2 linked regions of the Neodiprion lecontei genome follow. The protein of the gene in region 1 binds, or shares a complex with, the protein of each later gene. Links are inferred from orthologs where the notes say so. Each region holds a gene or a part of one and is shown on either strand. Other genes may lie near its edges.

Region 1 (6,508 bases):
ATGACGTGCCGGGCTCAATGCTCATGCGTCGATCGATGCGGTCGTCCTTTATTGACGCGGGAAAAAAACTACCCTTTTTAAATTTTACTCCATTGCGGGACCGTTTCAGCTGCGGCAGGACTCATTGTCAATGCAATTTTCATCGTGACTTGACACCCTGAGTTCACTCGGTGAGGAAATCTGACTCATGATGCGCTCTGACCGGTATGGATTAAATCGCTAATCTGAAGACTGAAGCAACACAATCGTAACTAATGGGAACGCCGCAAGTTTTTTTTTTTTTAAGCAGATAGACCATTTCCTTCATAATTAACCTGAATCGTGTAACTCGAAAAATTTAACAATGCACGCACGTATTTGTTTTACCTCAATTTTTTATTCTTATTAAACAATAGTGCTATGGATTTGAAGTAATTTATTCGGATTCTTGGTAAAAAAAAAAAAAAATTACAATCCGTTGAAATTCAAATTCTCTTTAGTTTTTGTCAAGTTTTCAGAAACGGCTTGCCATCCTCTTGACTTTAACGACGTCACGACAAACGCTCAGCTATATGACGGAGAGTCGGAGTATCTATCGAACGTCTGGACGCTAGCAGAACGTGGAAGATGACTACTGACGTCATCACATTCCAAGATCCTTAATCTTGTAGGATGCTTGTCACGCGATGACGTCAGCTTTACGACCACCTCGACGCATTTTTAATCGCAAATTCTCCCCTCAGACAACCACTCATCTGGTTTATAGGAACCTTAAGTAGCTATCGAGTGGTTGATTCGATTGAGCTTTTAAATTCTAGACTCTGAAGTTGGTTTCAGGCGTTTCATTGAATTCGTTAGATCGAGTGTGGTGTCGATAGAAGTGAAAAAAATATTGCGAAAACAGTTCTGATTCAAGTCAGTAACGCATGGATGAGAGTTACGAGACTGTTGTGGCAACATTGGGGGATGTGTTCCGAAATATGTTGCCAGTACTGTGAGTTTCACTTTCAAGAGAGATAGGAAATGGCAAAAAAGTCACACGAGTGACGGAGAGCGTCGATAAGGCTAATTTGCAGTGCTGACATTATACCTTTTTAGGAACACACAGCGCGCCTCAGCGAAATGAAAGCCACAGTCTGCATGTCACCCAATTGATTCGACGTCCGTTACGTGCAAGGTCATCGGATCATTCGAATATGAAATATTTTTGACATCCTTTAAAATCAAATTATTCTCGGAGTTCGATTGAATCGATAATCTATACGTTGAAAAAAAACTGTCCAATGGAATCATTTCCTGGTAGTTTCTTTTTCCGTTCCGTTATAATGCTCATCGATAGTAGCGTGAAAACCTCTTGCGTTTATTCGTTACTTCCGTCCTGTTCCTTAAACACATAATCTAGCGCGAAGTTTGCTGCATAATTTTCATCGTTAAATGTGCGTATACCATATTGTCTGCAATATAAAGGGGAAAGTACCGTTTTTCTTTGATAGAAAGCAGTCAATGAACCGCGTTACGAAAAACTTTAAAAAGACAGTTACGACCGATTTCCTTCACTGCGTTGAGCGGTAATAACTCGCGTGGTTTTTCGCATTCGCTTAAATACCCGCATGAGTCTTTTATTACACTGGGTACATCATGGTCTCAAAATCTCACTGGCAAATGGCTGACGCCTGGCCGCCGTAAATCAGATTTAATAAATTCAGCCGGATTCATCCGACTGACGTAATCAAAAATTGCGGACACTGGCGCCACCGCTCATCCGTTCGAGATTTAAATGCTACGCGGTGTGTTCACCAACCGATAACAACGCGACCTGTACTGCAGCCAGAAGTCGAGAGCCGTGATTGGTCGAAACGTTGGGACCACCTCGTCGCGGGCCAATCATAGTTCCGCGTGAAGTTGCGCAGTATCGAATAGCCCAAACCCGTATCGATATTCCAGCATTGAGACCATCTGCAACTTCACAGTATTCGGGGTTTTCCTTCTATTTAAGGTGTCTAACCCCTCTTTTTCCCCTGACTGAACCAACTTGTAATATCGACGAAGGGTTGCGATGCAGGCGAGCCTTTGGAACCTGGTAAACACGTCCGTTCGGGTGAGAAATTAAACGAGTATAATTCTTACGCAATTGTTATTTGTTTATTAAGGTTTCTGAATTTCTCATCGCCCACTTCTTCCTCTCTCCTTCGCATGTCCGTGAAGGGCAATCGTCTGCTAATAAGCCAAGCCATTGCTCTGCAATCCTGGTTATGTCATTTGTGTAGTTAAAACTTAACTCTTATTCGGCAGAAAATTATCTACCGGATCTATGCCAATTTTTGTAACACGATCTATCTATCCGACCCTTAATCAAATCATCCTTTGCTTAAAATCTACAGTTTTATCACTTCTTTCCTGAACTCGGGACTAGATATCCGGTCGTTTCCGCCTCCAATAAGGCGAATATCTTGACGATGAATTGTTCATCTTTTATGAAAACATCTACAGTATATTTATGAAAAAAGAAAACTACCGTCTTTCCAACTATTTTGAAACAATGAATAGTAAAGGTGCATCCTCAATTTTTTCAAAATTTGAATAGCTTTTCAATTAGATTTATTTAGCATAAAAATTGTTCCCGTAAATTGACGAATTAATTGTAGGAAAGAAAAAGTCAACCTGGATTGACATAATGTGAAGCATTTCTACAGCACATCTAGGTAGCAGAATATTGAATAAAATTTAATGTTCTCTTTATAAAATAGAAATAACGATCCTCATAACTTTGCTATTTTCTATTATTTACTTAAGAATTATTTTTCGGATACACCTGTGACACACAGAAGAAAATCGTGTCCTGTATTTATATACAAGACATTTATCTGTTCGATCATATTTACTTTCAAATTTCATCACGTTTTTTGAATAAATAATAAATTTTCTCCACACCAGCCGGCATGCGTCAAACGAGTTGTAAACCCAGTACTCTCGGTCGCTCAGCAGCGAAGGTATGCCAGCTCGATCGATGCTGACGTAGTAGTGATTGGATCAGGTCCTGGAGGATATGTAGCAGCTATAAAGGCCGCCCAATTGGGCATGAAAACTGTGTGTGTGGAAAAGGACCCAACGCTCGGTGGAACCTGCCTCAACGTTGGATGTATTCCATCAAAGTCTCTCCTTAACAATTCTCACTATTATCATATGGCACACAGTGGAGATTTGAAGGATCGTGGAATCGTAGGCAAGTAGTTTGTTAGGATTGTAAAGACTTGGATCATCACAAAATATTTGGCGTTTTTTTTAAACTTATTGAAAAAAATTTAGGAAAATCAAGGAAATTCTACACATTTCTAGATCATAAGTATGCATCTGTAAAAGATTAATATCCTCGAGTATTCTCACATTTAGATTTTGGTAACATCTGTTACTAGATTTGTTTGGGCCATGTCTGCATTTCATATTCTCTTATCCATATAGCTGATAACAGTATGTGAAAAGCTAAATTTGATATTCAACTAATTAAATTACAATAAAAAATTACGCATATTTAATTCTTCTATTTTGTAAGTTGAAAAAAAAAGAGGAAATACCTATTGGTATTTTCATATGTTGTTTTCGACTGTATGCAATAGTTTTGAAAATAGCAATGATTATTTGCAACACGACTTTATTTTACCTCGTTATGTTCACAGTCGAGAATGTCAAGTTAGATCTGGACCAACTCTTGCAGCAAAAAACGAACGTGGTGAAAGCCTTGACTAGCGGAATAGCTGGACTTTTCAAAAAGAACAAAATCGAATGGGTTAAGGGACATGGAAAAATAACTGGAAAAAATCAAGTTTCCGCACTAACACCTGACGGCAGTGTTGGTACTACCATAAACACCAAGAATATTGTGATCGCTACGGGCAGCGAAGTGACACCCTTCCCTGGTATCGAAGTCGACGAAAAACAAATCGTTTCATCGACTGGCGCGTTATCATTAAATCCAGTACCAAAACGATTGATAGTTATTGGTGCTGGAGTCATCGGCTTGGAGCTCGGCTCAGTCTGGCAAAGGTATTTTACCATTTTTCCATGGCAGTTATTATTCGGTACTGTAAAATACAACCCTCAAAATCTTGTAATTATTTCTTCATCTAAAAGCTTCTAAAATTCTTAATTTAACAAACAAGGAATACAAAGACAAAACTATATCGACTCATTCACATTGACAGGTTGGGTTCAGAAGTAACAGCCGTTGAGTTCATGACGTCAATTGGTGGTGCTGGTATTGACGGAGAAGTCAGTAAAACTTTACAAAAAATATTGGGAAAACAGGGTCTGAAATTCAAGTTGGGAACCAAAGTTACCGGAGCAACGAAAACCGGTGGTGAAATCAAAGTTTCGATCGAAGACGCCAAGGATCCGAGCAAAAAGGAAGAATTGGGTTGCGACGTGCTGCTCGTCTGCGTCGGCAGAAGGCCATACACGAACAATCTCGGCCTTGAAGATATTGGTATTGAAAGGGACGAAAAAGGCAGGATCCCAGTTAACAATCGGTTCCAAACTGTCATACCAAAGTGAGTGTGCGCTCTTCGTATCATGACTTCAGTTTCAAAAAAGGTGCTCAACTCAATGTTGATTTATTTTTTCGTTGTTTAGCATCTACGCCATCGGAGATTGCATCCATGGACCTATGTTGGCGCACAAAGCCGAAGACGAAGGCATCATCACGGTAGAAGGCATCGCCGGAGGTAAAGTAAAAAAAAAGAAAACTCCCCTTGGTCTACTGAAAAACCTGCAAACCAAACCGCAAATCGTTAGAATTCACCTAATTCACGGTAAATCCCAATCAAGTCGTGTATTTTTAAAGGCGCTGTTCACATCGACTACAACTGCGTACCAAGTGTCGTTTACACGCATCCCGAAGTCGGTTGGGTCGGCAAAACCGAGGAGGATCTGAAGAAAGAAGGCATCGATTACAAAGTAGGAAAGTTCCCATACCTAGCCAATTCTAGGGCTAAGACCAATATGGAAACGGACGGTTTCGCCAAGGTGTTGGCAGACAGTAACACTGATAAGATTTTGGGTGTTCATCTTGTTGGACCGTCCGCTGGAGAGCTGATTAACGAGGCTGTTTTGGCGATGGAATACGGCGCGAGTGCTGAAGACGTCGCGAGAGTCTGTCACGCCCATCCGGTACGTAACATACTTACCACTTTACAGACGGGTTACGTAAAACGATCCATACGTCTAATGGCTGTGATTACAAAGCGTATTTATCGTCAACCAGAAAGGAACGCTTAATTAATTTTTCCTTTGTTTTATTACAGACGTGCTCCGAGGCTCTCAGAGAGGCTCATCTCGCGGCGTACTTCGGCAAGCCTATTAATTTCTAAGAAATATTACACGGCAATAGTCCGAAGCGTTGTGAAGAAAGATCGTGAACGCCCCACTTGGGTAGTTCGAGTTGTAATAATATCGTGTAAGCAAGTCGTAATTAGCTAAAAGGCAATACCGTCAGATGAAAGAAGCAATGAGAAGACGAAAAAACACCAAGCAAAATAAAACAAGGTTGTAAATAAAGTAAATATCGTTACGCAATGCGGGATCCCGGGGATTCCGATTACGATAACCGACAGTTCTATTACTAACGTAATATCACACGAACCCCCATGTATTTATTAAAATATCAAACAATAAAACCCTATCTGCTTTTGCGAGCAAGTGGAAACCGTATCAAGGTTCAACAATGTAATAGCACCTCTATCCCTGATCGGATATCAATCAAATCGCAAACTCGCAAGTTTTAAGAACTCTTATAATAACTCGCTGTTACAGACAAGTTCAATTTTTTCCCGGAATATCATTCTTGCACAAAGTTCGAAATGGCGAAATTCCGTATTTGATTAATATTTGAGTGTCTTTAAGCAAAAGCGAAAGAAGTTTAAAAAAATCTTCAGTCATCACACCGTCGGACTATCCTGCGCTTCGAATTCCACGCACAAAGCGAATGACGCTGGTTGTTCGATGAAGCGAGGGATGGCAGCACGCGAGGATGGAATCGAATTGGATAAGCCAGTGCTGCCGCATCTTGGACCGCGAGTGCAACATCGTTGGACATACGGTTGATCCGAGAGCTGAACGGAGCCGAGGGGCAACTGCTGCGTGGTGTGTGGCAGCAGCACACACCCAATGTTTGTGTTTTCGAATATCTCGGGAGGGTAATATCGGCGTGATAGAATAACACGGTAGAAAAATGTTCGTAACAAGCTAGAAGTTAAAGGATGTAGCCTGTCCGATATCGAGTATCAAGATGTGGACACCGACAAAGACGACGAAGTATGGCGTTGGTAAGTCTAACAACAGTGCAACAAAACCTTGACGCGTTTCGTTCGTCTAATTCGAAACTGTCAAATAACGTACGAAATACGGACATACTGAGAGATAGATGGGCCGGATACGCCGAGCTGTCAATTGTTTTCTGTCTCGACGATCGCTGTCGGTATTATAGAGTTCCGTAATTAAAAATCCGCGAATCCAAATCTTCTCGCGTCCGTTTCTC
Region 2 (5,410 bases), on another chromosome or scaffold:
CAAGTTATTAGCGACCGCGATGGGCTTGGCAAGCACCCTCACGGGAAACTTGCCTAACAGCGTTGAGACGGCGCCATCGCCGAAGGTGGTGCACGCTACAATTTACCTCTTTTTTGCGCTCTCAGGCCTCGTCGATGTTCTCACTTTCTACTTTCCCCACGTCGTGAGCGACGGTCTGGCCAAAATGGCGCTTGCCCAGGCCTTCTTTATCGAGGGATTTTTATTTTTGTGGACCAGCCAGTCCAATAACTCTGCGATAGTCTTGGCTAGGATCGTCTGGACCAGCTCCTTTGCCGTCGTTCTCGAGTTGGTCTGGCCCGAGATGAAGCTCCTCAGGGCAGCTTCCACTCTGCTTCACGGTAGCTGGCTCGCTCACATGGTCAGAACCAGGGTGGAATGCAATTTTGCCACACTTGTGGAATGTAATCTTGAATCTCTGAAAATCGAGACTCTAGCTCTTTCCTTCTCCTGGCACTTTGCAGCTTCATTTATTGTCACACTCTGCGTAGTCGCGGTCACAAGAAGTTGCGCGCCGAAACTGAGGCCTGATGATCCTCCCGAAATCCCCATCTATGATTACTGCCATGACGTAGATCAGAGAGTTTAGGGCCAAATTTGTTCAGCTTGTGATACATGAAAAAGCCAGGTCGCCTTGATAGATCCCAACTTCTGATCTCTGATCACAGTAACACGATTTATTAGCTATTTTATAAATGTGCCTTGTTTATTTTTGCTCGCAACCTGTAAAGACGTCTCAAGTGGTTCATTTTGTTTTCTCATTAATTTTTTTATTTACTCAATTTTTACTCGTATATTGTAATTGATAATATTGTCGATTCACGTACCAATTTTATTTAGCTATATCGATCGTCTTTACAGCAACTCGCTTTTAGTATCTAATACTTATTGCCACATGATCAAGTTGTTCTCGTTATTAACGTGCCTAAGGTAAACAATGTTTTTATACAATAAATTTGTATATAATATTTTTTGTGATATTACTGTAACATACAATGAAAAAGTGTTATTATTCAACCAGTCGCCAATTGCCAGTGCCTCACATGATATATGTAATCATGATGTATTTTAATACCGTGTAATTGTAATATTGTATAGTCTTATATGCATATAAGCGTTGTTAAATCTTGTACACTGTTATCCAGATCTTGAACTTCGAGATCTGCTCTTCCAAAAATATTGTACATCTACATGTACATACATGTTTATGTGAATGTTCTTTACAACGATCGAAATATTTTGCCTATATGAAATTTGTAAGTCAACACTTTCGAATAAATTTAAAAAACTGATATTTGAATGTCGATTTTGTTTTTTCTACCATAAGAGTTGTAGTATTATAAAGTACAAAAACAATCAGACCTGAGAAATCTCCCAGCAGTGATCCTGCCGTACAGTTGTTCGAAATTTAAAAGTCTACCTCGCGCTAATTTCGTCATCATTATCAGTTCATTACCAACAGCGCGGGATTCTCCAAGTAGTATTTCCAGAGGTTTGAGAATTTAGCTATCGTCGCACCGTCGACCACCCGATGGTCTGCGGCCCAACTAACCGACAGTATCTGGGCTGCGACTACCTTATCATCGGCGTCGAAACGAGGCAGTTTTTGTGTTCTTCCCACCGCACCGATTACTATTTGCGGTGGTAATATCACAGGCTTTGTGTACGTCCCGCCGACCTGTGTGCAACGATTAATAAAATTGACGATTTTCACTACTCTTCATCTCTGTGTTCTACATTTTTTAAACACTACTTACCACTCCGATGTTGGACAAGGTGAATGTGCCACCCGCCAAGTCGCTCGGTGGTATGGCTGTCCTTTTTCCGAGTTCCTGGAGCCTGTTGAGTTCCTTAGCGATGGTCACGACGTCGAGATTCTGAACGTTCTTTACGTTGGGCACGACCAGACCCTCCGGAGTATCCATGGCCACGCATATGTTGTGCCACGGTAGTACTTCGACGGTTTGAGTATCTTCGTTCAGCCTGGCATTGAGTTCGGGAAACTTTTCAAGAGCCTTTGATATCGCCTTTATGAAGAATGGCATGTAGGTCAGAGCAATCCCCCGTTCCTTCATGGCGGCTTTGACCTCATCCCTTAACTTGACGAGTTTCGTCACGTCGCATTCGTCGCTGTAAACGAAGTGCGGGATGCTCTGAAATGAAATTCTTTACAATCTGTGCAATGAATTGTTCAACAAATGTGTCCTAAGAGTCCTTAAGATTTCGACTCTGGGTAGATTTTGGCACGCGGTAGGACTCACCAGAGAGCGTGTCATCGTTGTCCACATGTGTTTCGCGTATCCTTTGAGGGCAACGGTTTTAACCTCTCCTTGGACTCGATTCGTTTTATCAGGCTGCCTTTGCGGCTTGGTTGATTCCTCGATGTCACTGTCAGACGTCTCGTTGTCATCGTATGAAAGAAGGTCCTCCTTTAGTATTCTGCCATTTTTACCCGTTCCGACGACGTCTTTCAATCGAATACCCTTCTCCATGGCTATTCTCCTGACAGCAGGAGTGGTGAGAACTTTTCCGATCAGGGATTCCCGGGAGGCCTCACTCCCCCGCTGATGTTCAGTGTTGAGGCTTGTTTTCTCCTGGGGGGATATTTCAGTTGTCCCCGAAACTTCTTCGCTCCCATGTTCCCCCTCGTCATCCAGCTCTATGTCGACCAGCGGTTGTCCGACTAAAGCGATTTCGTCTACCTTAAATCGGAGGGCTTTTATCATCCCGTCGTATCGGCTGGTTATAGTGACCGAAGCCTTGTCGCTTTGTACTTCGCAGACTTCGTCGAATTGGCTCACTTTGTCTCCAGGTTTGACGAACCTGAGGTAAAGAAATAGTCAACCATTTGTCACCCTGTCTGATACTGTCGTTCGACACTTTCAATGCGGGAATGTTACAGGCTGTCTCAATTTGTTTCGTGTAACACAAACATGGGAGATGATTGAAGTCGCTCACCATTCTTTGACCGTGACCTCACGAATTCCTTCCCCAATGTCGGACAATTTGAACGGCACTACGCGACCCTGAAGCGAAACCGAGGTCGATACGGATCTGAGAACAGCCTCGAGTTTGATGTTCTTAGGCTGAAAAAGAGCAAAAAATTTACGAATCCGATATACCGATTAAAGCGGTTCGAGATAAGGAAAGTAACGGTACGATTGATCACTGATAAGCAATAATACGTGCACCATTTACCGGTAGAACCAATCTACTAGTAGCTAGATGACGAACGAAGAACGTCATTGCGATGTTGCAACGAGTTGACCGCACAGTTCTGCAGTTACTGGCAATCAGAGCGATATTCATACCGCGTTAAGCGTTGAGCTGATTATACGTCGATACCGAAACAAAGTGACGAGCGTTCTCCGTTTGCCCGCCTTACCGTACAAGTAATGGCCGCGCTTCTTACGGAATAGCATTTAATCACGAACGTCAGATTCATGCTCGGTGCGATTAATTCTTACGTAACTTACTCGGTTGAGAAACAACAACTGATAACAGCACTGCGAAATCAAACATAACCGAGTCGCGCATCGTCTTATACATCTCAGGTACGTATTTCTTCATTTTGTAAAAATCTGGGTGGTTTGTCGCGTGAAGATAATTGCAGCTTCAGGAATCCCCCCCCCCCCCCCCTTCCCCCGTCAGTTTGAATTCTTCAATCATCTTGTAATATCTTGGATAAATGAGGTGGACAACGATATCTGTTGTGTTTTGCTTTATTCCTTTTATTTCACCAACTGGTTCGTACAGCGGTTACTTAACACCTCGGATACCGAGTACATACTGGCGTGTCTATATCGACACGCTTGCTCGAACACATACACACGTGTCTACGCTTACCCATATTCCCCACATACATTGCCTGTATTCCATACTACTACACTCTCTCTGACTAGAAAAAAAAAAAATGTTTTAATCGTTGTCTTATTTTTCTGTGTGATTTCGGATTCGCTCTGACCGCCGTGTCATTAATGGTATTGCATCAACATCTGCACTTTGTTTGACACATTCTTCTATTGACAGTTTCATCTGGTTGCTATGCCGTTTCCATACTATATTAGGTGAAATTTCTACAAGGTAAGTTACCCCTGATACTGATTCTTTTAAAACTTTGGCTTTTACCCATGATGAATGCGTCCCCCGATAATCTGTAACCATGACTATATCTCCTACTTTGAAATGTGAGCGGTTTCTTCCGATATAATTTTTTTTTTTTTTTGCCTCGAATGCGTTTCATCAACCGTTTCCTGTACATAATGCGGGCATAAAAGCGAGAAACAATTCCGTAATTCACGGTTAAGAAATAACTTTGTCGGAGACTGATTTGTTGTCGTTTGCGGGGTCGACCTGTAATCATGTAGGAATTGCTGTGTGGCATCCTCTAAATTCATGTTGTTCATCATCATACATTTAATTTTTCGTTTGTATGTGTCTACAAAATTTTCGGCCGCGCCGTTTGTCGCTGGGTGGTGTGGCGGAATCCTACTGTAGCGTATACCGTGCTTTTTCGTGAATTCTTTAAATTTATAACCACGAAATGATTGGAAATTGCCTGTAACTAAATTTATCGGGTACCCGTGTCGAGAAAACAAGTCGGAAAAGTTTTTGATTGTAGCCGTTTCGGTCATATTATTCATAATGAAAGCTTCAGGCCATTTTGAATGGCTATCGATTACCATTAATACCATTTTGTCATTGATTGGTGCAAGAAAATCTGCGTGTATTCGGTGCCATGGCGTAGTTGGCCATCCCCATGAAGTTAACGGTATTTTCATCGGTTTCTTATTTGTTTTTAAGCAGGGTAAACAGGATTTTGTTATCTGATCAATATCATCGTCGATGTTTGGCCACCAAACATACCCACGGGCTAACGCTTTCGTTTTACGTATTCCAAAGTGGCTACAGTGTAATTCTTTTAAAACTAAAGTGCGTAATTTATTCGGTATAATTACTCTGTGGCCCCATAATAAACAATTATTTTCCACCGCTAACGCGTCTTTTTTGCGCCAATACACTTTTATTTCTGTTTCCTTTGGTTCCCTTTCAGGCCATCCATTCAAACAAAATGTTAAAATTTTGCACAGCACTTTATCCTCGCGCGTCGCTTTTTGGACTTGCTTCCAATCCAATGTCGCGAAATCGAATGTTATGATATTGTTCAAAAAGGTATCTGGCATGTCTTGTATAACTGCGAATCTCTTATCATTTTTATCATCGTCACTTGGTATGGAAAGCCTGCTCAGCCAATCTGCATAATTATCTTTTCCTTTTGTGTGCGTAATTTTGTAATTGAATGCAGCTAAAAATGCCGCCCATCTCTGTAACTGCGTTGTGGCTATGGTTGGAATTGATTTTTCCGGATGCAATATGCGGACTAGCGTGGCAT

The links. Proteins that work in one complex are often made in the same cells at the same time.
Region 2: the proteins of dihydrolipoyl dehydrogenase, mitochondrial (region 1) and lipoamide acyltransferase component of branched-chain alpha-keto acid dehydrogenase complex, mitochondrial are in contact, whole or in part, in a crystal structure (PDB 3RNM), measured with the Homo sapiens proteins. The link is inferred for Neodiprion lecontei from reciprocal best matches to the Homo sapiens genes DLD and DBT. Residues at the interface, in NP_000099.2 of Homo sapiens: Ser446, Thr447, Asp448, Arg449, Glu472, Tyr473, Gly474, Ser476, Glu478, Asp479, Arg482; in NP_001909.4 of Homo sapiens: Thr174, Pro175, Ala176, Lys196, Arg199, Leu201, Lys202, Glu203, Leu206.

Annotation. Positions count from the first base shown.
Region 1 is NC_060263.1:37,791,793-37,798,300, reverse strand, and holds dihydrolipoyl dehydrogenase, mitochondrial, read left to right. Parts: upstream 1-1,919; 5' UTR 1,920-2,035; coding exon 2,036-2,077; intron 2,078-2,913; coding exon 2,914-3,202; intron 3,203-3,653; coding exon 3,654-4,020; intron 4,021-4,178; coding exon 4,179-4,523; intron 4,524-4,605; coding exon 4,606-4,697; intron 4,698-4,816; coding exon 4,817-5,142; intron 5,143-5,276; coding exon 5,277-5,342; 3' UTR 5,343-5,682; downstream 5,683-6,508. Other genes in the region: dedicator of cytokinesis protein 3, read left to right, coding at 6,260-6,296. UniProt on the Homo sapiens protein: Lipoamide dehydrogenase is a component of the glycine cleavage system as well as an E3 component of three alpha-ketoacid dehydrogenase complexes (pyruvate-, alpha-ketoglutarate-, and branched-chain amino acid-dehydrogenase complex).
Region 2 is NC_060264.1:33,776,419-33,781,828, forward strand, and holds lipoamide acyltransferase component of branched-chain alpha-keto acid dehydrogenase complex, mitochondrial, read right to left. Parts: upstream 3,460-5,410; 5' UTR 3,328-3,459; coding exon 3,217-3,327; exon of another isoform or gene 3,213-3,216; coding exon of another isoform or gene 3,210-3,212; intron 3,105-3,209; coding exon 2,977-3,104; intron 2,842-2,976; coding exon 2,280-2,841; intron 2,172-2,279; coding exon 1,776-2,171; intron 1,697-1,775; coding exon 1,463-1,696; 3' UTR 830-1,462; downstream 1-829. Other genes in the region: transmembrane protein 45B, read left to right, coding at 1-607. UniProt on the Homo sapiens protein: The branched-chain alpha-keto dehydrogenase complex catalyzes the overall conversion of alpha-keto acids to acyl-CoA and CO(2).